4 linked regions of the Macaca fascicularis genome follow. The protein of the gene in region 3 binds, or shares a complex with, the protein of the main gene of each other region. Links are inferred from orthologs where the notes say so. Each region holds a gene or a part of one and is shown on either strand. Other genes may lie near its edges. The genes, in order: SLC7A11, SLC7A8, SLC3A2 and SLC7A10.

Region 1 (4,700 bases), on a different chromosome or scaffold from region 3:
TCAGTTTAAAATCAAACTGAATAGTGCCAAGTCACTCTGAATAGCAAATTTCCTTCAACTTTGTGGGAAGCTTATGATGTCATGTGAGCATTTCAGAGTATCACAGTTTCTTAAGGCTAATTACTTCTATAAAATGTGATGTGGACATTCTGATTACAGAATTTAATGGATATTACTAGGGAAACTTGCTCTTATCAAACTTACCAAACATACATGATTGAGAGCTCATGTGAGCTTTTATGGCTAAGTGCTAATAAGTGCTAGTTAGTACTGACTTAACACTAATCATGAGTTTTACAGTGTTAGAAGTCTTTTTTTTTAACAGAAAAAATATCTTCAAAGTAGTATATACTTCATGAAGTCTTTTTCATTTTAAACAACTCTGCATTATTTAAAATTGTTATAATGATATAATAATAAGTATTTTTTCCCTTTTCTAAAATTCCTGTATCAGGAATGTACTTTCTGTTCCTTTTTGGTTATCTGAATCTTATCTGCTCTTCAAAGGTCATCTTAAATCCTATCTTTCTCATAATTAATTTCCAGTTTATTCTAATTTGTTATTTCTTTCATCTCTAAATTCTTCTGAAAATGCTATCTCTGCTTCACATTTGACATTGAACATGATACCTTCTATTCTTCCTTAATATTTTAGATGTCTGTATTTTGTTTCCCTTTTAAAACTGCCAACCTTTCAAGCATATAAAGATACGATCTTTTTGTAACCTGTATAGCACTTAGGTCAGTGCCCTTTTTTCGGCATATATTAAATTATTTTTGAATAAGTAATTGAAAGTTTAAAGTTACAATATATTGTGTATAACATACTCAGCATTCAAATACATGTACTCCTTATTTAGACTGCTGACCTGTCAGGCTGGTGGGCTTTGGGGCTTAATACAGTTGGACTTGACTCCATCTTCAGCCATGTATTAGTGTGTAACTTTGGCTCATTGCTTGGCATTATGATGAACACAATCATTCCATATAAATATAGCTTATATCTTATGGTAGCACAGATAAAATATACATCTATTAATTTATTTATTCCACAATCTGCCACTGAATGGTAAATGACAATAGAAAGAGATCTAAAGTGAAATCAGTCATGATTTCTGCTCCCAGGTAGCTGATAATCACTTATTACTTTAATTAAAAAAAAAACAAACTACTTTTCTCTGTGTGTGTGTGTGTGTGTGTGTGTGTGTGTGTGTGTGTGTCTGTGGACAGAGGAAAGTACCTTTGTATTCTAGAAGATTTAAAATATGCTTATGTATCTCTTTGTCATAACATACTGATTTTGCTGAGTTGGCCTTTTAAATATGTAGAATAACAAATATCATGAGGAGGGACAAGATATCTAAGTATTTAAACACTTCTCTTCTTTTGCTAATACCCATAGTTCCTAAGTACTTCACATTAAAATTATACCTTTAGATTAAGTTTGTATTGCCAGAAATAATCTGTAAAACACAGATTTCAAGGAGAGAAATATTACCTATCATTACACAGCAGGGGTCATTAAACCGAATTTGCGTGTTCACTCTATATTTAATATATATTGGGTTTCTACTATATGTTAGACACTGCGCTAAACACTGGAGATAAAATTGTGGTTAAGATAGATACGATTTTGTACCCTTAGAGCTCCGAGTCAAGTGGGAGGAAATCATTATCAGCTGAGAAATCACATAGGTAAATATAAAATTGCTACTGTGATAAGCACTGTGGAAGACAGGCCAAGGACTTCAGTATGAATATACTCCAAGAGATCTGGCCCAGTCAGAGGCTGGAGAAGCTTTCCCTGGCAAAGGAAAATTGAACCAAGATCTGAAGTTTATAGCATAGTCAATGAGTTGCAGAGGCTGCAGGCAGAGAAGATTCATATCCTTCTAGTGGGAGGAAGCTAACTGAAGAAATAAGGAGAGCTTAGACCAGATGGAGCCTTGAATGCAATGTGAAGGAGTTTTGCATTTCCTGAACATATTTTGAAAGCACTAAAATGACATGATCAGATCTTAAATTATACATCAAAAATTGTATAAATGATGGAGAATAGGATAAACAGTTTTGTTTGGGGAAGATGGGAGGGTGTCTAGGAAAAGAAGAAAATCAAAAACCTTATGCTGCTCTCCAGTATCAGCCAGCCAAAGTTGACAACATGTAATGGTGGTTGGTTTTCTGATAATCTATGGATCAGGCATGAATGTTGGGTAACTACGAGAAGAAAGAGAAGCTAAAAAGGAAGTTTGACATAAGAAATTAGATAATTGCCGGGGGGCGCAGTGACTCATGGCTGTAATCCCAGCACTTTGGGAGGCTGAGGCAGGTGGATCACCAGGTCAGGAGTTCAAGACCAGCCTGACCAATATGGTGAGACCCCGTCTGTACTAAAAATACAAAAAATTAGCCAGGCATGGTGGCTTGTGCCTGTAATCCCAGCTACTCAGGAGGCTGAGGCAGGAGAATTGCTTGAACATGGGAGGCGGAGGTTACAGTGAGCTGAGATCGTGCCACTACACTCCAGTCTAGGCAACAGAGTGAGACTCCATTTCAGAAAAAAAAAAAAAAAAGAAATTAGATAATTGCACAGACTTGCATGTTTATGGAAAAAATATGCATTCATATATACATACATCTAAAATGAAAAGGTCTGTGCAATTTTCTCATAAAAATATTTGAAGAATTAAAATAGAAGGATGTATTACCTATATTTCTATATACTTGAATTTATTTCATATTCTTGTCCCATTTATATTTACTTAATTGTATAAGATTATAATAAATATATTATTTTTAAATTTATACTTTATATCTGATTGTTACTATAGGAGTAAGAATAATCACTTGACTTTGAGTTTTTGTCTGTACAGAAAAAATAAGAGTAAAACAACATCAAGTATTTAGGCATGTATTTCCAGAGAATACGTAATACTAATTTTTTAGGTTGAGTATTGTGTTCATTCTTTAGACTATGCCTTGACACATTAGATCTGTATGGCATTAACTAATTCATAATATGGCTGAAGTTTATTTACTGACTTTTTGAGAAAGAAGATGGCTTCCTGTAAGCCTAGCTCTGTCAAGCTCTTATGTAATAAGCCGGATTTTGAAGGAAAAGTCAAATATGGGAGAGCAGGGGAAAAGTTGGTAGTACTTACCCTTGTTCCCAAGAATATGTGAAGTTTAAAAACTAGCCACCAATGTTATAGGAAATATTTCATTTGGAATGTCTATGACAACCTAATCAAGTATGGAATTCTGAAAACTATAGACTTTCATATTTAACATGTTGCATATGCTAAATACACTCAAGGTAGAAAAATCTAATGAAATTAAATTTAATAAAAATGCTATTTTTCCCCCTGTGGTTAATCTAAATATATACATTTTTTTTAGCCCTGCAGCTACAGCTGTGATATCCCTGGCATTTGGACGCTACATTCTGGAACCATTTTTTATTCAATGTGAAATCCCTGAACTTGCGATCAAGCTCATTACAGCTGTGGGCTTAAGTGAGTATTATAGCTATATATGTAAAAAAGGAAAAAAACAACACAAAAATGATTGAATACAAAGTGTCTTTAGACTTTTTGCATTGTAGGGTTGCCTCTCACGTCATGTTCTTCTTGCTTACAGTTCCAAATTTCTGCTGGAAGGATTTGGAGTGACATCCAATATTGTATTCCACGCCAGTTTTGTATTTGGCCAATAGATATGATGGCTAATCTTTTTAAATAGTAAAAATCACCTTACTAGTAAAATATTAAGTCGGTTATACATGAACAAGACTTTTAAAGAGGAAACCCCAATTATTTTAGAGATTATTTAATTGGAAATTAGCTATATATTGAATTATATCTTATGTGTATTCGTGGAGTTACCTTTATGTAGTGGGTGTGTAAGTTGTGTTTATACATTTTGTAGTGTTAGCAGCTGTCACTCCCAGTGTTATAATGTTAGCTGCCTGTTGTTGGTCATGAAAAGAGTTTTCTTTCAAGATTGATTATTAATAGTGTTTTCCAACTAGATTTCTTTATGGTCTCCAAATTGAGAAGTTGTTCATCTTTTATCAATGGGCACAAATATTCATTGATTTAAAAAAGAAACAAAAAGAACATGAACAAAATTACATGAGTGATATGAAGCCATATATGACTCTAATTCCCCAAAAGATGCCAGGTACTAAATCCTTAAATATGGGAAAGGATAACTTAATTCTGGGTGCCATTTGAATCACTGTCTTAATCAATATGATCACATTTAACCGAGTTTTAGCTACTTATAAAGAGAAAGCTACACTAACTGAATTGCATAATCATGGAAGAATTTTTAGTTTGTATGGCTAAGATGTTTCAGTGGGATAATGCCTGAGATATTGCCTGTAATTTACTTATTGCCTGTAATTCATTTATTTTTTTAATTAAAATTTAAAAAATAGATTTAGTGGGTACAATGCAGTTGTGTTACATGGATATATTGTGTAGTGGTGGAGTCTGGGCTTTTAGTGTAACCATCACCCAAATAGTGTACATTGTAGAAATTAGGTAATTTTCATCCCTCATCCTCCTCCTACCCTCTCATCTCTCTGAGTCTCCAATGTCTATTATTTCACACTCTATGTCTACGTGTATACATTATTTAGCTCCCACTTATAAGTGAGAACATATGGTATTTGACTTTCTTTTTCTCTAATTCCA
Region 2 (4,700 bases), on a different chromosome or scaffold from region 3:
TTTTAGTCTCTACTAACCTAGTACTTCTGAACAGACCATATGGGGACTGTCTGAGAGAGGAGGCTGAAAGATGTCCTGTTGTCCTATTGTAGAACTTTACATAAACCTACAAGAAGAGGAGAAGTCTGTAAGGATTGGTGGCACTCAGAATCTCCTTTTTCTATCTTCTCTTTGCCTGATAGTTATATCACTAATTTGATGATGAGGAATTATTTTTCTTAGTTTCATTTCTATAAGCAGCCCCTTTCTGTTGCGAAAGACTGTTAGCACCAAAATTAGGAAGACATATTTGAGACAAATATGTGCTTCCTTTTCATCTGTATCTAACTTCAGCCTGTGCCCCCTGATTCTATATTTCAGTCTCAGGGCTAGATTGAGGTTGTGTTATGGTTGAGATCTGAGCGTCAGTTTTTGAAAGCTGAGCATAGGATTTACAATCTCCATCTCACTGGTTCCAGACCACTACAGAGAGATCGTGGAGGCTTGAGATGTCCTTAGAACACAGTCAAATCCAGCTGACCTCAGGGTACTCTAGCTCTGCCTTTCCACCTGGATCCATTTGGTCTCTGCTCCTTTCCTTAGGCATTTAGTGGTGCAGCTGGGCAGAGCATGAAGCAGCACTTTCAAAGCACCCACCCAATGGACCTTGATGATCTATTTTATCACAAGAAGTGGACATGGGAACAGTTGGGAAGAAGCATGTCAGGAACAGCCTCCACACTCCTGTTCCTCCTCTGCATAACACACACAACCCAGCAGCCAGCCATTCAATACTGGCTGTGGGCCTCACCTCTCAGGAGAAAGCCAGCCCCTGCACACAAGCAGAAGTGGATTAGTGGAAAGAGCGCTGGATTAAGTATCAGGAGACTGACTTCTAGATCCAATTTTACCCATCAGTAGCTGTGGAATTTGGAGAAAGCCACTTAACCCCTCTATGTCTTAATCTCTTCGTTTGTAAAACAGAGAGGGAAGTACCTGCCTCTCTCCTCTCCCTGAATTCCATAAGGTTGTTTTGAGGGTCACATGAAACATTGGTGGGTAACGACTTTTGAAAGAATATAGTACTGAGGCTTTGTATGTATTGCATTCCTACACACCACTTCTAAACTACTAGCACTGTTTTTATAGTTATTTTATGTTCTTCACCAAGGGTGGGGCCGTCATGTCTAGGGTAGAAGCCAGCCTCCAGGAATGTTTTCCACACTCATAAGTCTTGAAAACCCCCAATCTTGGGGTGTGACCACAATCTGTTCAAAAAAGATTGTCTTTTGGCTCATTTTTGAAGCCTTCCAGTGGGCAGGTGTTCTCTGAAAACAGTCCACTTTTCCAGCCCTGCCATTTTCAGAGCCTTGAGGCCCTTGTCACTTTGGGTGGACCACATGTCTCTCAGCTGGAGGGTCCTGAGATTCGATACTTCACCATCACTTACTGCAATGTGGACCTAGGCAACTCACTTGGTATCTCTGAGACTCAGTTTCCTCCTCTGTAAAATATGAGAAATGATATCTGATTCCATAGTGTCGTCCTGAGGATTAAATGAGATGTGGAAAGTACCTGACCAAGTTCCTAGTCAATATGTGTCAGTTCTCTGCTCCTCTTTACCCTACTTCAGGGAGAATTATTGCTAGACACACCTGCCTGCAGATAATTTACGTATCTCCAGGGCATTTCAGAATCAGATCGGAGATGAGACCACCCTCCAAACGCCAATCCTGCCAACCATCCTGTCTCTACTGTCTCCCCTTCTTACCCTTGGTGTCCCATGCAGGGAACATCATCGGCTCTGGAATCTTTGTCTCGCCAAAGGGCGTGCTGGAGAATGCCGGTTCTGTGGGCCTTGCGCTCATCGTCTGGATCGTGACAGGCTTCATCACAGTTGTGGGAGCCCTCTGCTATGCTGAACTCGGGGTCACCATCCCCAAATCTGGAGGTGACTACTCCTATGTCAAGGACATCTTCGGAGGACTGGCTGGGTAAGAGGATCTGTGGAGACCCTAATGGTCTAGGGGAAAAGGAGGAAGACATTCAGAAGGAGGTCAGATCGGGAAAAGCCAACGCTAGGAGTTTCCAGTCTCCAGTGTGCCAGGGGGTGCTAGAGAATGGAATGTCTCTTTTGCTTTCCTGCCATGGTTGCTAGTGTAGCCTTGTGTCCCCTCGAGGCTTCTGAGAATGATGGAGGGACCAGTTTTGTAGTTTTGACCTCTATGTTGATCTTGGTGGGAAGGATGCTATGAGTGAGAGCAAACAGAACTGTGTAACAACACTGACCATAGATTCCCAGAGAAAGCACATCACAAAAACAAAGCTCTTCTATCTTGACAAGTGAGAGCGGCCACCTAAGGTAGAGTGTAACCTCTTCTCACACTACCAAGGATAATGGCCTCCCTCTAGAGTTGGGCCCTAATCTTAAATTTCCTCAATTTCTGCACCCCTGCCATTGGTAAACCCTCACCAATGGGCCAAAGGGTGTGGAAGGCACTTCCCCTGCAAACCTCCACTTGATACCTCTCCTGTTTGTTGCTTCTGTAACCACACACTTAGTATGTCCTGTCTATCAACATTCAGCGGTTGCAAATTTTGTTTTTCCACCATTGGATGCTGGTGGCCACAGTGATGGAGAAGAGATGATGAAAGGAGAGAAGGAAAGAATGCCAAGACTTGTGTTAGTGCTTGTGGAAATTTAGCTCTTCATCATTAAACCATTTTATTGTCATTGCAGAGGGCTGGGTGTCTCATTTGTGGGTGGGGGCAGAGGCTGGGCTCTTCAGCATCTCTGAAAATAAAAAAGAGATGCATGACTTGCCCGGGCTCTCCCCTGATGGCTCTGCATCCCTGCCATGCCTGTTGGCGGGGATGTCCCATTCCTCCTTCAGGTTCCTGAGGCTGTGGATTGCTGTGCTGGTGATCTACCCCACCAACCAGGCTGTCATTGCCCTCACCTTCTCCAACTACGTGCTGCAGCCGCTCTTCCCCACCTGCTTCCCCCCAGAGTCTGGCCTTCGGCTCCTGGCTGCCATCTGCTTATGTAAGTGTCATCTGGGTCTTCGTAGCAAGACAGCCTCTTTTATTATATTTATTATTATTATTTTTAGAACAGAGTCCTCTGTCACTCAGCCTGGAGTGCAATCACACGATCACAGCTCACTGCAGCCTTGAATTCCTGGGCTCAAGTGATCCTCCTGCCTCGGCCTCCCAAAGTGTTGTGGTTACAGGTGTGAGCCACTGTGCACGGTCTGAGGGATGCCTCTTTTAGCCTCCCTGGTGGTCTATATGTCTCTGACTCTCCTTCCTTCTCTCCTTTTTTTTTGGAGGCAGGGTCTCACTCTGTCTCCCAGGCTGGAGTGCAGTGGCGTGATCTCCATTCACTGCAACCTCCGTCTCCCAGGTTCAAGCAATTCTCCCACCTCAGACTCCCAAGTTGCTGGGATTACAGGCGTGAGCCACCATGCCCGGCTAATTTTTGTATTTTTTGTAGAGATGGGATTTCACCATGTTGGCCAGGCTGGTTTTGAACTCCTGGCCTCAAGTGATCCGCCCACCTTGGCCTCCCAAAGTGCTGGGATTACAGGCCTGAGCCACCTCACCCTGCCTCCTTTTCTTTTCCCCATTACTTTTCTTTCAGTTTCCTACAAGTGTGTTTTGTATGAATGGATTCTGCATACAATTGTCTGGTGAAAAAAAAAAAAAGACAGACAGACAGAAAGAAAGAGAGAGAGAGAAAGAAGAAAGAATGAAAGAAAGAAAGAAAGAAAGAAAGAAAGAAAGAAAGAAAGAAAGAAAGAAAGAAAGAAAGAAAGAAAGAAAGAAAGAAAGAAACTTAAGTAGCTCCTTGGAGGCACTGTAATTTTCACTGGCCGGGTCAAAGCACTTTCACCTATATTATCTGATTTGGGCCTAATGACAAGTCCATGAGGTAAGCTGGGCCAGTATTAACATTTTCCCAGAACAGATAAGGAAACAGAGAGCCAGGCAAGTGACTTGCCCAGGGAGGCAGGCCGCATGGAGTGCAAGGGCTCCTGATTTCTTGTCTGTCCAGTACACTGCACTGTGCTGGCTACTCCCAGCTGCTCCTAGGAAGATTACTCTGGCTTCATGGCAGTAGTTCTACATCTACTTCTACCTCAACTTGTCAAGTCACACTTTTTTAAATCTCTTGGAGAAGAGTTTGTCCATGGTCCCTGCCCTTCATGAGTTTTCTAACTAGGAGAAAAGCCATATAGATGGATACTGTGGTTAGGATTCAATTGCAGTAAAAATTCAGAGAAGGGAGCTAGGCATGGCGGTGCACACCATAGTTCCAGCTACCTGGGAGGCTGAGGTAGGAGGGTTGCTTGACCCTGGGAGTTCTGGGTTATAGTGAGCTTGATCACACCTATGAATAATAGCCACTGCACTCCAGCCTGGGCAACATAGTGAGATCCTGTCTCTAAAAAAAAAAAAAAAGAAAGAAAGAAAAAAAAAGAAAAGAAAAAAAATTAAAAACAACAGGAACAGTAAAATTCAGAGAAGGGGAAAAGATCTCTGTGGGCTGGAATAGGTTAGCGAGGCTTTCTAGAAGTTCTGCAGAGCCGTATTTCTAGGAAGTCTCAAAACTTTATCTCTGATATTAGTCATCTCAATGGATTGGGGTATCTTACATCTTTAATCAAAAACTAATTTCTAAAGTAAATACTTAGATATGTTTCAGGGGCTCCACCTCT
Region 3 (5,233 bases):
ATCGTACGTTACATTCTATTTACTGAGATAGGAGAAAACTGCCTTATCGATGGAGGTTAGACATGCTGGCGGCAATACTGCTTTTTTTTTTTTTTTTGAGAGGGAGTCTTGCCTTGTCACCCAGGCTGGAGTGCAGTGGTGCAATCTCAGTTCACTGCAAGCTCCGCCTCCCGGGTTCCCTCCATTCTCCTGCCTCAGCCTCCCAAGTAGCTGGGACTACAGGTGCGCGCCATCACATCCAGCTAATTTTTTTGTATTTTAGTAGAGACGGGGTTTCACCATGTTAGCCAGGATGGTCTCCATCTCCTGACCTCGTGATCCGCCCGTCTGGGCCTCCCAAAGTGCTGAGATTACAGTGCTGGGATTACAGGCGTGAGCCACCGTGCCTGGCCGACAATACTGCTCTTTACTGCACTGAGATGTTTGTGTAAAGTCAAACATAAATCTGGCCTACATGCACATCGAGGCACAGCACCTTTCCTTAAACTTATTTATGACAGAGTCCTTTGCTCACATGTTTTCCTGCTGACCCTCTCCCCACCATTACCCTATAGTCCTGCCACATCCCCCTCACCGAGATGGTAGAGATAGTGATCAATAAATGCTGAGGGAACTCAGAGACCGGTGCCGGTACGGGTCCTCCTTATGCTGAGTGTCGGTCCCCTGGGCCCACTTTTCTTCCTCTATACTTTGTCTCTCTGTCTTATTTTCTCAGTCTCTCGTCCCACCTGATGAGAAATACCCACAGGTGTGGAGGGGCTGGCCCCCTTCAGGATTACAGGCGTGAGCCGCTCTACCTAGCCTACTTTTTTTTAAATGCCCTATTTTCTAGTAGATTCTATGTCACTGCACAAGAGGTTGCAAACTCACAATGAGGGCCACCTTTGGCCCACAGGCATATTTCAGTTTTTTGTTTGTTTGTTTTTGAGACTCGCTCTTGTCCCCCAGGCTGGAGTGCAGTGGGGTGATCTTGGCTCACTGCAACTTCCACCTCCCGGGTTCAACCGCTTCTCCTGCCTCACCCTCCTAAGTAGCTGGGATTACAATCGCCCGCCACCGCACCCACACCACGCCCGGCTTATTTTTGTATTTTTAGTAGAGAAGGGGTTTCACCATGTTGGCCATGCTGGTCTCTAACTCCTGACCTCAGGTGGTCCGCCCACTTCGGCCTCCCAAAGTGCTAGGATTACAGACATGAGCCACCGCGCCCGGCCAAAAAAATTTAAACTCAACATTTTAAAGTGGGTAAATACACAATTCTGGACTTCTGGATTCTTTTGAAAACTATTTGATCACACAGAGACAATACTGTCACAAGGCAACAAGCAGCTGGAGCTGTGAAAGGGCTGCCCAGTTCACCAGAGTCCCAACTCAGTTCATTTCACTTACCTACATTACTTAGCTGATTTCTGTATGTGAGTTGGAGACCCCTAACCCAAATCCCCTCTTTTCCACTTCCACTGCCGTTACACTTGCTAGTATTGAATCCTCTTGCCTAAACTACTATGGCAATCTAACTAATGACCTTGTCTCCATCTTATCCCCCAATGTCTTATCACTTTCCTACTTAAAAACTCTCCCTGGTTTTTTTTTTCTATCTATGATTCAAGTGATTTAGCTTTGCTCTCAAGGTCCTGCTTATGTGGCTTTCCCCAGGAAATACATTCCAGTTTTATATTCTAATACTCCCCTTTTGCCCATCTTTCATGAATTGTAGCCACACACTTCCTTCTTTTTCTTGCACCAAGCTTGTGCTCCAGTTGTTTCTTTAACTGGAATTCCCCTCCGGAGTCTTTCAACCCTTTCAGGCCCAGACACTCTATAAAGCATTTCCCAACTGCCATTCCCACTCACAACCTCCCCAGCCTTGTCTGTCTACTCTGGGCCATCTTGATTTTCCATAGTTTATCTGTCCCCCTTTTTTTTTTTTTTTTTTTTTTGAGACAGGGTCTCACTCAGTCATCCAGGCTGGAGTGCAGTGCAGTGGCTTGATCACAACTCACTTACAGCCTCAAATTCCTGGGCTCAAGCAATCCTCCCACCTCAGCTTCCCAAGTAGCTGAGGCTACAGGCATGCACCACCGCTCCTGGCTAATTTTTTCTATTTTTCTGTAGAGATGGGTATCGGTTTCTCACTATGTTGCTTAGGCTGGTCTTGAACTCTTGGGTTCAAGAGATCCTCCCACCTTGGCCTCCCAAAATGCTGAGCCAGGCCGGGTGTGGTGGCCTACGCCTGTAATCCCAGCACTTTGGGAGGCTGAGGCAGGAGGTCACCAGGTCAGCAGTTCAAGACCAGCCTGGCCAACGTGATGAAACCCCATCTCTCCTAAAAATACAAAAATTAGCGTGGCTTGATGATTGCGGGAGCCTGTAATCCCAGCTACTCAGGAGGCTGAGGAAGGAGAATCGCTTGAACCTGGGAGGCAGAGGTTGCAGTGAACCGACATCCCGCCACTGCACTCTGGGCGACAGAGCAGAACTCTGTCTCGGAAAAAAAAAAAAATGTTTATAAAGTGTGCTTGTACACGTAGATGTTTACCACGAACCACTGAACTAATGCTGTCCGGTCTCAGTAAAACAGTCTATAGCTGACTGCAACCATAGTGATCAGGCAGGAGTTGCAGCAGGCAGCACCGCGGGAGCCCTTTAAGGTTCCCCATCAATAAAGGGGGCTGTCATCCTACCTAGCTCTTGGGATTTTGATGGATTAATCGATTAATACAGTGTGCTTAAAACGGTGCTCCACAAATGTTAGCTAATGCTGGCCCGTAGTAGTCCAAGATCTAAAGAAAACGCACCAGAAGGCAGGACATAGGGGACCAGTTAGAAAAAAATCAGATCCTGTCTTCAGTGGAGCATTTACGCCCTGACTTACTTTCCCGAAATGGCTCCCCCAAAGGGGACCTCCTCCCGAGTTTAGCTCGGGATCCAGTACCTGAGTCATCCCCCGCGCTGAGACCCTGGACACCAGCCTCCGAATGTGAGCCCGGCAGCTGGCGGGGAATCGAAACGACGGCGGTCGAGGCTTCAGGAGGCTGTAGCTCCATGGAGGCGGATCCTGCACACAGGTTTCGGGTGTGTGGGGGCAAGGGGGAGCTCAGAACAGGGTTAGCGGGTAAGCAGTCGTGACCGTCAGTCCAGGATCCGCGTGAGGCAGTGATCTCACCGCTCCTGCCACATGCACTGGGTGAGAAAACTAAGCCGCAATGCGGTCGGTGAGGTTCCGTAGGACGCATGCGCGCCCTTTTCGCGCCGCAGGTTCAGGTAGCGCTTTGTCCACGCCCTCCTTCCCTGGAACTCTCTACCCACAACTCCCCGGGGTCGCATGCGGTCAACGTATGCGCGTGCGCTCGCCATAGCACCGCCCCCAAATCCCGTGGGCCTCTGCGGGATGGTATTTAATCGTCTCTCCGTGCCAATTTCGGTCTCATTGTTCTACTGCCGCTGGTAAGTGATTTTGTAAGGTTTGTAGCTGTCAGTGTTTTGTGCTTTGTCCGTTTCTTTTATTTTGAACGATTGTGCGGACATCGCATAGCACGCGCTATGCCTTCTGTGTTGTAGCTGTCTAGCCAGGGTGACTGGCGGGTGAGGTCTTGTGGGTGGCCTCGAGACTTAATTAAATTAAGTAGCAGCGGGGCTTTGTGAAGGACAAGATGGCGATGGCGGGCCTTGCGGGTCCCCTCCCTATGATGAGGACCTTTTCACAGACCTGTACTGAGCTCCGTGAGGATAAGTGACTCTGAGGAGATGGGCCCTGCAAGCCTCCTACTTAGCCGTCGGCTCAGAAGATAGCGTTTTCGAAATGCCCTGTGTTGACTTAATGTCTTCTTGGACTCTGGTCTGCAGGGTTTACGCGCACGTTGGAATCGAAGAGAGCTCTATGTTACAGTAAGTTCTTATGGCCATTTCTTAACCTCTGCTCTTTCGTTGAGTGTGTTGAAGTTGCTACGGGGATGATTTTACAAACTGAACTCTCTCTTTCTGATGGATTAGTGGAGAAAACAAAAATTCTGAGTAGCACTGTACTGTACGCAATAAATGTCAGGGACTTATTGATTTGTCTGAGGTGTTAGTGAAGGCTGTTATTTTTTCAGATGTTTAGCCCACAAGAGCTCACTGGTGAAGGAATGGGACAAGACCCATCTTTCTGCAAAGCCAGCGTTACAGTAATGTTCCAGGTAGGTGTACATGCTTTTATGCTCTTACAGAGGAGACCTTGCTAGATAACCACTCCGTGATGAACACAAAATGACAAGCATATGGCTGAACTTATAAGTGATGTCATCTTACTACTGAGAAGTGACAGCGAGGTCTTCAGGGGTCTTTGAATGACTATTTTTAGGTACATAAAATGCCTTCCTCTGTTGTCTACAGCATCTCATAATCCTGAGGAATTCAGCTGTCTCCCAGGGTGAATACAGGTAATTATTCAAATTGGTGTATGTCATCTCTGTAAATGTTCACAAGAGAACAAGTGGCCGGCGGAAGCAATTTTGTTTTTTGGCGCCTTCCATCTTGTTCCTCTTGAGATAATTTTCTGGGAAGCGAGATCGCAACCCGGTACTACAGTTCTTGTAAGCGTGCGCTGTTATCCTCATCCATATATCGATCACTTTACTGTCAGATGATTTGAATTGATAAGCTGATGTTCTGTGAGGTACAAAAATTAATAGCATGTTAGAGTTCTGATGGCAGTTGTTGATTTTGAATAAGTTTCATTCCATCCTAATACCTTAAAATAACTAATTTGCTTTGCTTTCCAGGTATTCCTCATGACAATCTGCCTCTATCTTACAGTACGTTGCTTTTTTAATTCTATGGGCCTATTATCTAATTGATAACTTAGCCATCTTGATGTTTGTTACCAAAGCCTGCTTAAACCATAAAGTTTTCTGGTTCCTCTTGTTCTCTGTAGTGATGTTTCCAGACCTCCCCTTTTTTCTCTCAGATAGATGCCCACTGATCTGCCCAGGGTCAGACTAATGCTTGTCAGTTGTAGGTTTGCACGGTTCAGCTCCAATATGGAGGAAACATCCTGCCTCAGCCCTGTTCTAGCCTGGGAACCAGTAATTGTGAACCCACCAGGATTAACTGAAAAAGGGCATGAGAGGCCTGTCTGAGGCATTTGGTTACCTTTTCTTAGCTTGTCCACTAGCAACCGTAACTAAAATAGTTTTGGCTGTTTGGGATAATTAGCTAATTGATTGATTTTTTTGATTCAGGAGCAGCTTGT
Region 4 (5,238 bases), on a different chromosome or scaffold from region 3:
AACGGAAGAACACGTTTTCATAAGGTAGTAAGAGGTGTTTTTCTGAACAAATGTTGGATGTGACCACGTCCTGCAGAGCCCCTGCCCCAGCCAGTTCTATTTCCTCCAGCCTGGCCGATTCCCTTCCATCTGCGCTTGCGGTGGCTGGCGGGCACTGCCCTAAACACACTTGACGTGAGTCTCACGCCGGCCCATAGCCTGCTCTTCCAGGTCTTCCCATTTTCGAAAGCCTCACTTCCCAGTCTGAGCTGGAGCAGAGGGTATATGTGGGAGAGAGTGATAGGATCTCCTGGGAGGGTCGCTGTGGAAGTTTTGGAAATAACATGTTCAGTAATAGTAACAAACCAAGGTAGATTATGAAGCAGGACATTGGCTGGGCAGGGTGGCTCACACCTGTAATCCCAGCACTTTGGGAGGCCGAGGCAGGCAGATCACTTGAGGTTAGGAGTTCAAGACCAGCCTGGCCAACATGGTAAAACTCTGTCTCTACTGAAAATACAACAAATTAGCTGGATACAGTGGTGCGTGCCTGTAATCCCAGCTACTCAGGAGGCTGATGCAGGAGAATTACTTGAACCCTGGAGGCGGAGGTTGCAATGAGCTAAGATTGCGGCACTGCACTCCAGCCTGGGGGACACAGCCAGACTCTGTCTCAGAAAAAAAAAAGAGAAAGAAAGAAGAGAGAAAGAGAGAGAGAGAGAGAGGGAGGGAGGGAAAAAGAGAGAGAGAAAGAAAGAAAGAGAAAGAGAGAAAGAAGGAAAGAAAGAAAGATGAAGCAGGATGTCAAGTTTTTAAGACTTTTAGAGCTAAAATATGACACTTTGCAGACATTTTTGATTCTGACCAGGCTCCCCAGTGTATTGGTGGAGAGAGAGTGAGCCCACCTGGGGCAGAAAGGTAGGGTGGGCTGGGGAGGGGAGACCCTTAGGACTTAAGGTGGGGAAGGCAGTGCAGACCCCAGCTCAGTCCTCATCTGCCCAGTCCCCACCTCCTATCACCTTCTGGTTGAGGTCGATCTCTCCTTGTTTTTTCCTGCCCCGTCCAGCTTCCTGCCTGCTGTAACCCTCCAAGGCTCCCCAGGCCAGGCCAAGACCAAGGCTCCCCAAGACCACCACTGAGTGCCCTGGGCTTGGGTTCTGTAGCTGAATTGGTTGGCCAAGTGGCCCTTCACCCTGGCTCAGTCTTCAAGGTTTGGAGGCCAAGGTGGTGGACTTGGCACAGCAGGAAGGAACTGAAGGGTGGGGGAGCTGTCAGGGCAGACCTGGGCTGCATGGGAAACTTAGAGTCTGTCCTAGAAAAGGAGGGGGTGATGGTGGAGTTGACCTTCTCCACTCCCACCACCACCACCTCCACCACCACCACCACCACCACCTCCACCACCACCACCACCACCACCACTGTCACCGCCGCCACCACCACCACCACCACCACTGGGGCCCCCTTCTGGGAAGAGAGGAGCCAGGCAGCCTCCCTGTGGCCTGGGGAGGATGGGATGTGGGGAGGGGATAGAGTAGGAAGACAGGTCAAGGATGCTGGGCTTAGCTGAGGAGCCCAGGCAGAGCTGTGTCTCTCTGCACCTGCCTGGCGCTGTAGCTGGCTCTAGGCCTGGTCTCAATCCTATGACCCACTCATGGTGTGAGCTTCCCCTTCCCTGGAGGACAGTTCCTGGAGGGGGTGTGGGCCAAGAAAAAGCTCTAACCAGCACCCTGGCCAAATCCCTAGAACCAGCCCTTCCTTCCAGCAGACCGTCTGTCAGGCAGGGGCATCCTAGGCCAAGAAGCTCCCAGGGCCAGGTCCGGACCAGGTTCTAGGAGGCAGCATTCTTTTTTTTTTTTTTTTTTTTGAGACGGAGTCTCGCTCTGTCGCCCAGGCTGGAGTGCAGTGGCCAGATCTCAGCTCACTGCAAGCTCCGCCTCCCGGGTTCCCGCCATTCTCCTGCCTCAGCCTCCCGAGTAGCTGGGACCACAGGCGCCGCCACCTCGCCCGGCTAATTTTTTGTGTTTTTAGTAGAGACGGGGTTTCGCCGTGTTAGCCAGGATGGTCTCGATCTCCTGACCTTGTGATCCGCCCGTCTCGGCCTCCCAAAGTGCTGGGATTACAGGCTTGAGCCACCGTGCCCGGCCCAGGAGGCAGCATTCTAAGGGGAGGCGGTGAGATGGTGGAGTGACCTGGCCAGGGGCTGTGTTCAGGGGCGACTCTGGATGGGAAGAGCTGCTAATGTGGGGGTGGGAGAGGACGAGGTGAAGATGCTGGGTCTGCCCTACTAAGCCTCCAAACTTTCTCCATCTCCAGGGGTCTGAGGGTAGGAGGACAGTGAAGACACAAGCGGCTCACACTGGCAGGGGACCAGGAAGACTGGCTGGCAGTAAGGTGAGAACAGTCGAGGCCCCAGTTACTCATCCCCCCAAACCATCTCTCCTGTCCCTCCCTGGAGGGGCTCAGAGGCACCCTGTGTAGACAAAGAAATAAGTCTGGATTAGTCAGTATCCATGACTTGGGACAGAGTGGAAAAATACCACTGCCATTCCCATGACCCCTGAGCTCTCTGCCTACCCAGAAACCCCTATGTGGGGGCAGGAGGACATGGACCCATTCTCAGGTGGGGACTTTGGACCCATTCTCAGAGGGAGACTTTGGAGTCCAGGGCCTCCAGACCAGGCGAGTGCCCAGTGCCCACCAGGATCCCAGCCCAGGGAGCAGCCGGCCTTCTGCAGGCTGGGTCTGCCCACTGCTGCCCCCTTCCCCCAATTGCTGGCTAACCCGCTCCCTCTCCTGGGCCCTGCTGCCAAACCCTGCAGTCATTGCCTGCTCTGAACATCCGTCCCCTCTGCGCCGGCTGCGAGCTTGTTCACTCTACTCACAGGCCCTCCTGCTTTCCAAGAATAAGTCACTGCACTGCGTGGCACCTGGACCCTGCCCACAGTAGGTACTCAGACTGACGACCCACAGTCCAGAACTTGGGGAGCTCAGCCTGCCGCAGCCTGACCAGCCCCTACACTGGTCAAGTTCCTGCGCTAATTGCAGGACTGCGGTCATGGCCATTTCACAGATGAGGAAACTGAGGGTAACTGCCTTGCAAAAGCCCCGCAGCAAAATCGAGTCAGGAGGAAGAGTCCAGCGGTGGACGGACCCAAAACTCCCCCAGGTATAGGCGGCAGGGAGGTGGGAACACGGAGCTTTGGCACCCTGGGCCAGCAGCCCCTGCCCTCCCAGCAGTCGTAGCGCTCTCTGAGGCCAGAGCAGGTTCCCCAGGCAGACCCGTCCGAGCTCCCGGAGAGGCGGCGCCCCTCGTTCGGCCTCCGCCCGCCCGGCGCCCGCCCACCTGGGTCCCGCTCACCGATGATGATGGTGCAGGCGCTCAGCAGCCCGATCTCCTTCTTGAGCGCCACTCGTTCCGAGGCGCCGGGGACGGGGCCTGGGACCGGGGAGGGCGAGGGCGCAGGGCTGGGGTTCCCGTGCTCGCTCGGCTGCTGCGTGTGGCCGGCCATGTCGCTGTCCCGCCGCGTTCCCGCTCCCTGCGCTGCCCCGTCTGTCCGGCCGGCCGCCCGTCCGTTTGTCGGTCGGTGAGCTCACGGCCCTCGCAGTCGGGACAGCGCCCACAGGCGGGCGCATGCGCTGGCGCGGGGCCCGGGACTGGGGCCCCCGGGTGGCGGGGGCCCGGGAGGGGCGGAAGGAGGGCCGGCCCGCAGCCCCCTCCCCCGCCTCCCTTAAAGGGAACGCCCCCTCCCCCAGTCCCGGCCTGGGAAGGAAGGAGAGGACTTGGGGCAGATCTAGGAAGGACTTCCCAGTTGGGCGAAGGAAGGGACCCTCCAGTTGCCTGAGTTACATCCATTCTTGGGGCGGGGTAGGGGAGCAGAGCTCCGAGACAAGACAATCCCTGCGCTCAGGGAGGCCGAGGGGGACGGCAAGAATAGGAGCTGGCCGCATGTGGGCATCCAGTGCGTGCTCCCTTTCGTACTCCATGCCTGCATGGGGTGTGTGTGTGTGTGTCTGTGTGTGTGTGTGTGTAGGAGACAGCTCCCAGGGTGAGTCCATTCTACAGGCGGAAGTTGAGGCCCAAAGATTAGTAGCGATCGCCAAGCAAGTGCAGGGCTGAGGCCAAACCCTTCCTCGTGCCCCCTTGGCTCCCAGGCGGACAACCTCAGGAGGGGTGGGGGTTGAGGTCTGGAACTCCTCTGAGGGGTCTGGGTGTCCTATGCACCCTGGATCAAAGGCCTGAGGGTCGAGGTGAAGATCTCGGGGGCCCTCATTCTCATCACAGGGACTCAAGGCCCGTGAGGAGTCCTGGACACTGCTCTCCCACCCCACCAGGCTCTGGGCCACCTCTGGCCCGAGGTCCCCACTACTGGATCCTCGTCCCAGGTCAGAGTGAGGGCTCAGCGGACTAGAACTCGTGTCTCTGGTGCCGGTCCCCCGCGATCCAGCCCGGCTCAAGGAGGCCAGGCGACCTGAATGCCTGGGGGGACATGGAGAAGGAGGCTGTGGTCGCGGGAGAGGGTCGGGCGTGCCGGGATCCGAGGGAGGCTGCCTCCTCCCGGAAGCCGTCCGGACTGTGCAGTTGAGGCCGGCGGAGCAGATCCAGGAGGGCCGCGTCGGGGCCACCGGGGCGGCGGGCGGGGCGAGCCTGGCACGGTGCTGCCGGCGGCGGAACAGCCTTTGTTTCTTCCTGGCGGCCGCCGCGACGCGCCGTCCCCTGCATGTGGATGAGGCCGCGCCGGGCGCCCCGTCCTCCCCCCCAGTGGCGGCCTCTGGGTTTGCTGGGTCCCTGCCAGGGGTCCGACGGCCGCAGGGTGGACCCGGGTGGGAAGGGGCGGGGGCGGGGGCGGGTCCCGGGCAGGGGCGGAGCGTGGAGGTGGGAGCGGGGCGGGGCCGGGGTTTGCAGGCGTACAGGAGCTTCGAAGTTGGGGGCGGGGACTTGGGGTAGGAGTAGGAGCGGGAGGATCCAAGGTGGACGTGCTGGGTGGACGCGGAGGGGGAGGCCACCCGGCGAAGCTGCATCCCTCTCGCTTCTGTCGTCGGAGTCCGGCATTCTTGGCGCCCTCCACCTCCAGCCCCAGAGACCATTCAGAGGCCGAATCTCTTAAAGGAGCCTCGCGCAGGTTGGGAGCAGCCCTGGCTCCGGAGACCCCTGATTGTCGCGGGTGTTAGGGGCCAGGGGCCTCGACCTTCTGGTTTGACTATCCCCAGCCCCTCAGTTGCCCTTGCAACTCTAGGGTCTGCTGGGAGAGGGTCTAGCCA

The links.
Region 1: the proteins of SLC3A2 (region 3) and SLC7A11 are in contact, whole or in part, in a cryo-EM structure (PDB 7P9V), measured with the Homo sapiens proteins. The link is inferred for Macaca fascicularis from reciprocal best matches to the Homo sapiens genes SLC3A2 and SLC7A11. Residues at the interface, in NP_002385.3 of Homo sapiens: Glu167, Leu170, Ala173, Trp178, Thr181, Arg182, Phe189, Trp190, Trp193, Met196, Leu197, Gly199, Ala200, Ile203, Ile204, Ala207, Arg209, Cys210, Glu212, Leu213, Lys299, Arg534, Gln559; in NP_055146.1 of Homo sapiens: Leu151, Phe154, Phe155, Ile156, Gln157, Cys158, Glu159, Pro161, Leu163, Ala164, Leu167, Ile168, Ala170, Val171, Thr174, Val175, Val178, Gln217, Gln219, Val360, His373, Thr487, Gln489, Ile490, Ile491, Glu493, Val494, Val495.
Region 2: the proteins of SLC3A2 (region 3) and SLC7A8 are in contact, whole or in part, in a cryo-EM structure (PDB 7CMI), measured with the Homo sapiens proteins. The link is inferred for Macaca fascicularis from reciprocal best matches to the Homo sapiens genes SLC3A2 and SLC7A8. Residues at the interface, in NP_002385.3 of Homo sapiens: Thr162, Gly163, Leu164, Ser165, Lys166, Glu167, Leu170, Ala173, Gly174, Trp178, Arg182, Leu185, Phe189, Trp190, Trp193, Met196, Leu197, Gly199, Ala200, Ile203, Ile204, Ala207, Arg209, Cys210, Arg211, Leu213, Lys532, Arg534, Asp558, Gln559; in NP_036376.2 of Homo sapiens: Leu147, Leu150, Phe151, Pro152, Thr153, Cys154, Phe155, Pro157, Ser159, Gly160, Leu163, Leu164, Ala166, Ile167, Leu170, Leu171, Trp174, Gln294, Ser352, Met356, Val359, Glu481, Thr484, Leu485, Gln488, Lys489, Met490, Cys491, Val492, Val493.
Region 4: the proteins of SLC3A2 (region 3) and SLC7A10 are in contact, whole or in part, in a cryo-EM structure (PDB 8WNT), measured with the Homo sapiens proteins. The link is inferred for Macaca fascicularis from reciprocal best matches to the Homo sapiens genes SLC3A2 and SLC7A10. Residues at the interface, in NP_002385.3 of Homo sapiens: Phe161, Thr162, Gly163, Leu164, Lys166, Leu169, Leu170, Val172, Ala173, Trp178, Arg182, Leu186, Phe189, Trp190, Trp193, Met196, Leu197, Ala200, Ile203, Ile204, Ala207, Pro208, Arg209, Cys210, Arg211, Glu212, Leu213, Arg534; in NP_062823.1 of Homo sapiens: Leu147, Val150, Phe151, Asn153, Cys154, Pro157, Ala160, Val163, Leu164, Met166, Ala167, Met170, Leu171, Trp174, Ser352, Val359, Glu481, Thr484, His485, Trp486, Gln488, Glu489, Leu490, Phe492, Val493, Val494, Tyr495, Gln497.

The regions. Positions count from the first base shown.
Region 1 is NC_088379.1:143,342,531-143,347,230, reverse strand, and holds part of SLC7A11 (cystine/glutamate transporter), read left to right. Parts: intron 1-3,399; coding exon 3,400-3,515; intron 3,516-4,700. UniProt on the Homo sapiens protein: Heterodimer with SLC3A2, that functions as an antiporter by mediating the exchange of extracellular anionic L-cystine and intracellular L-glutamate across the cellular plasma membrane.
Region 2 is NC_088381.1:90,922,467-90,927,166, reverse strand, and holds part of SLC7A8 (large neutral amino acids transporter small subunit 2), read left to right. Parts: intron 1-1,768; coding exon 1,769-1,973; intron 1,974-2,873; coding exon 2,874-3,025; intron 3,026-4,700. UniProt on the Homo sapiens protein: Associates with SLC3A2 to form a functional heterodimeric complex that translocates small and large neutral amino acids with broad specificity and a stoichiometry of 1:1.
Region 3 is NC_088388.1:11,193,839-11,199,071, forward strand, and holds the start of SLC3A2 (amino acid transporter heavy chain SLC3A2), read right to left. Parts: upstream 3,186-5,233; 5' UTR 3,048-3,185; coding exon 2,936-3,047; intron 1-2,935. UniProt on the Homo sapiens protein: Acts as a chaperone that facilitates biogenesis and trafficking of functional transporters heterodimers to the plasma membrane.
Region 4 is NC_088393.1:40,503,376-40,508,613, forward strand, and holds the start of SLC7A10 (asc-type amino acid transporter 1), read right to left. Parts: upstream 3,489-5,238; coding exon 3,338-3,488; intron 1-3,337. UniProt on the Homo sapiens protein: Associates with SLC3A2/4F2hc to form a functional heterodimeric complex that translocates small neutral L- and D-amino acids across the plasma membrane. Preferentially mediates exchange transport, but can also operate via facilitated diffusion.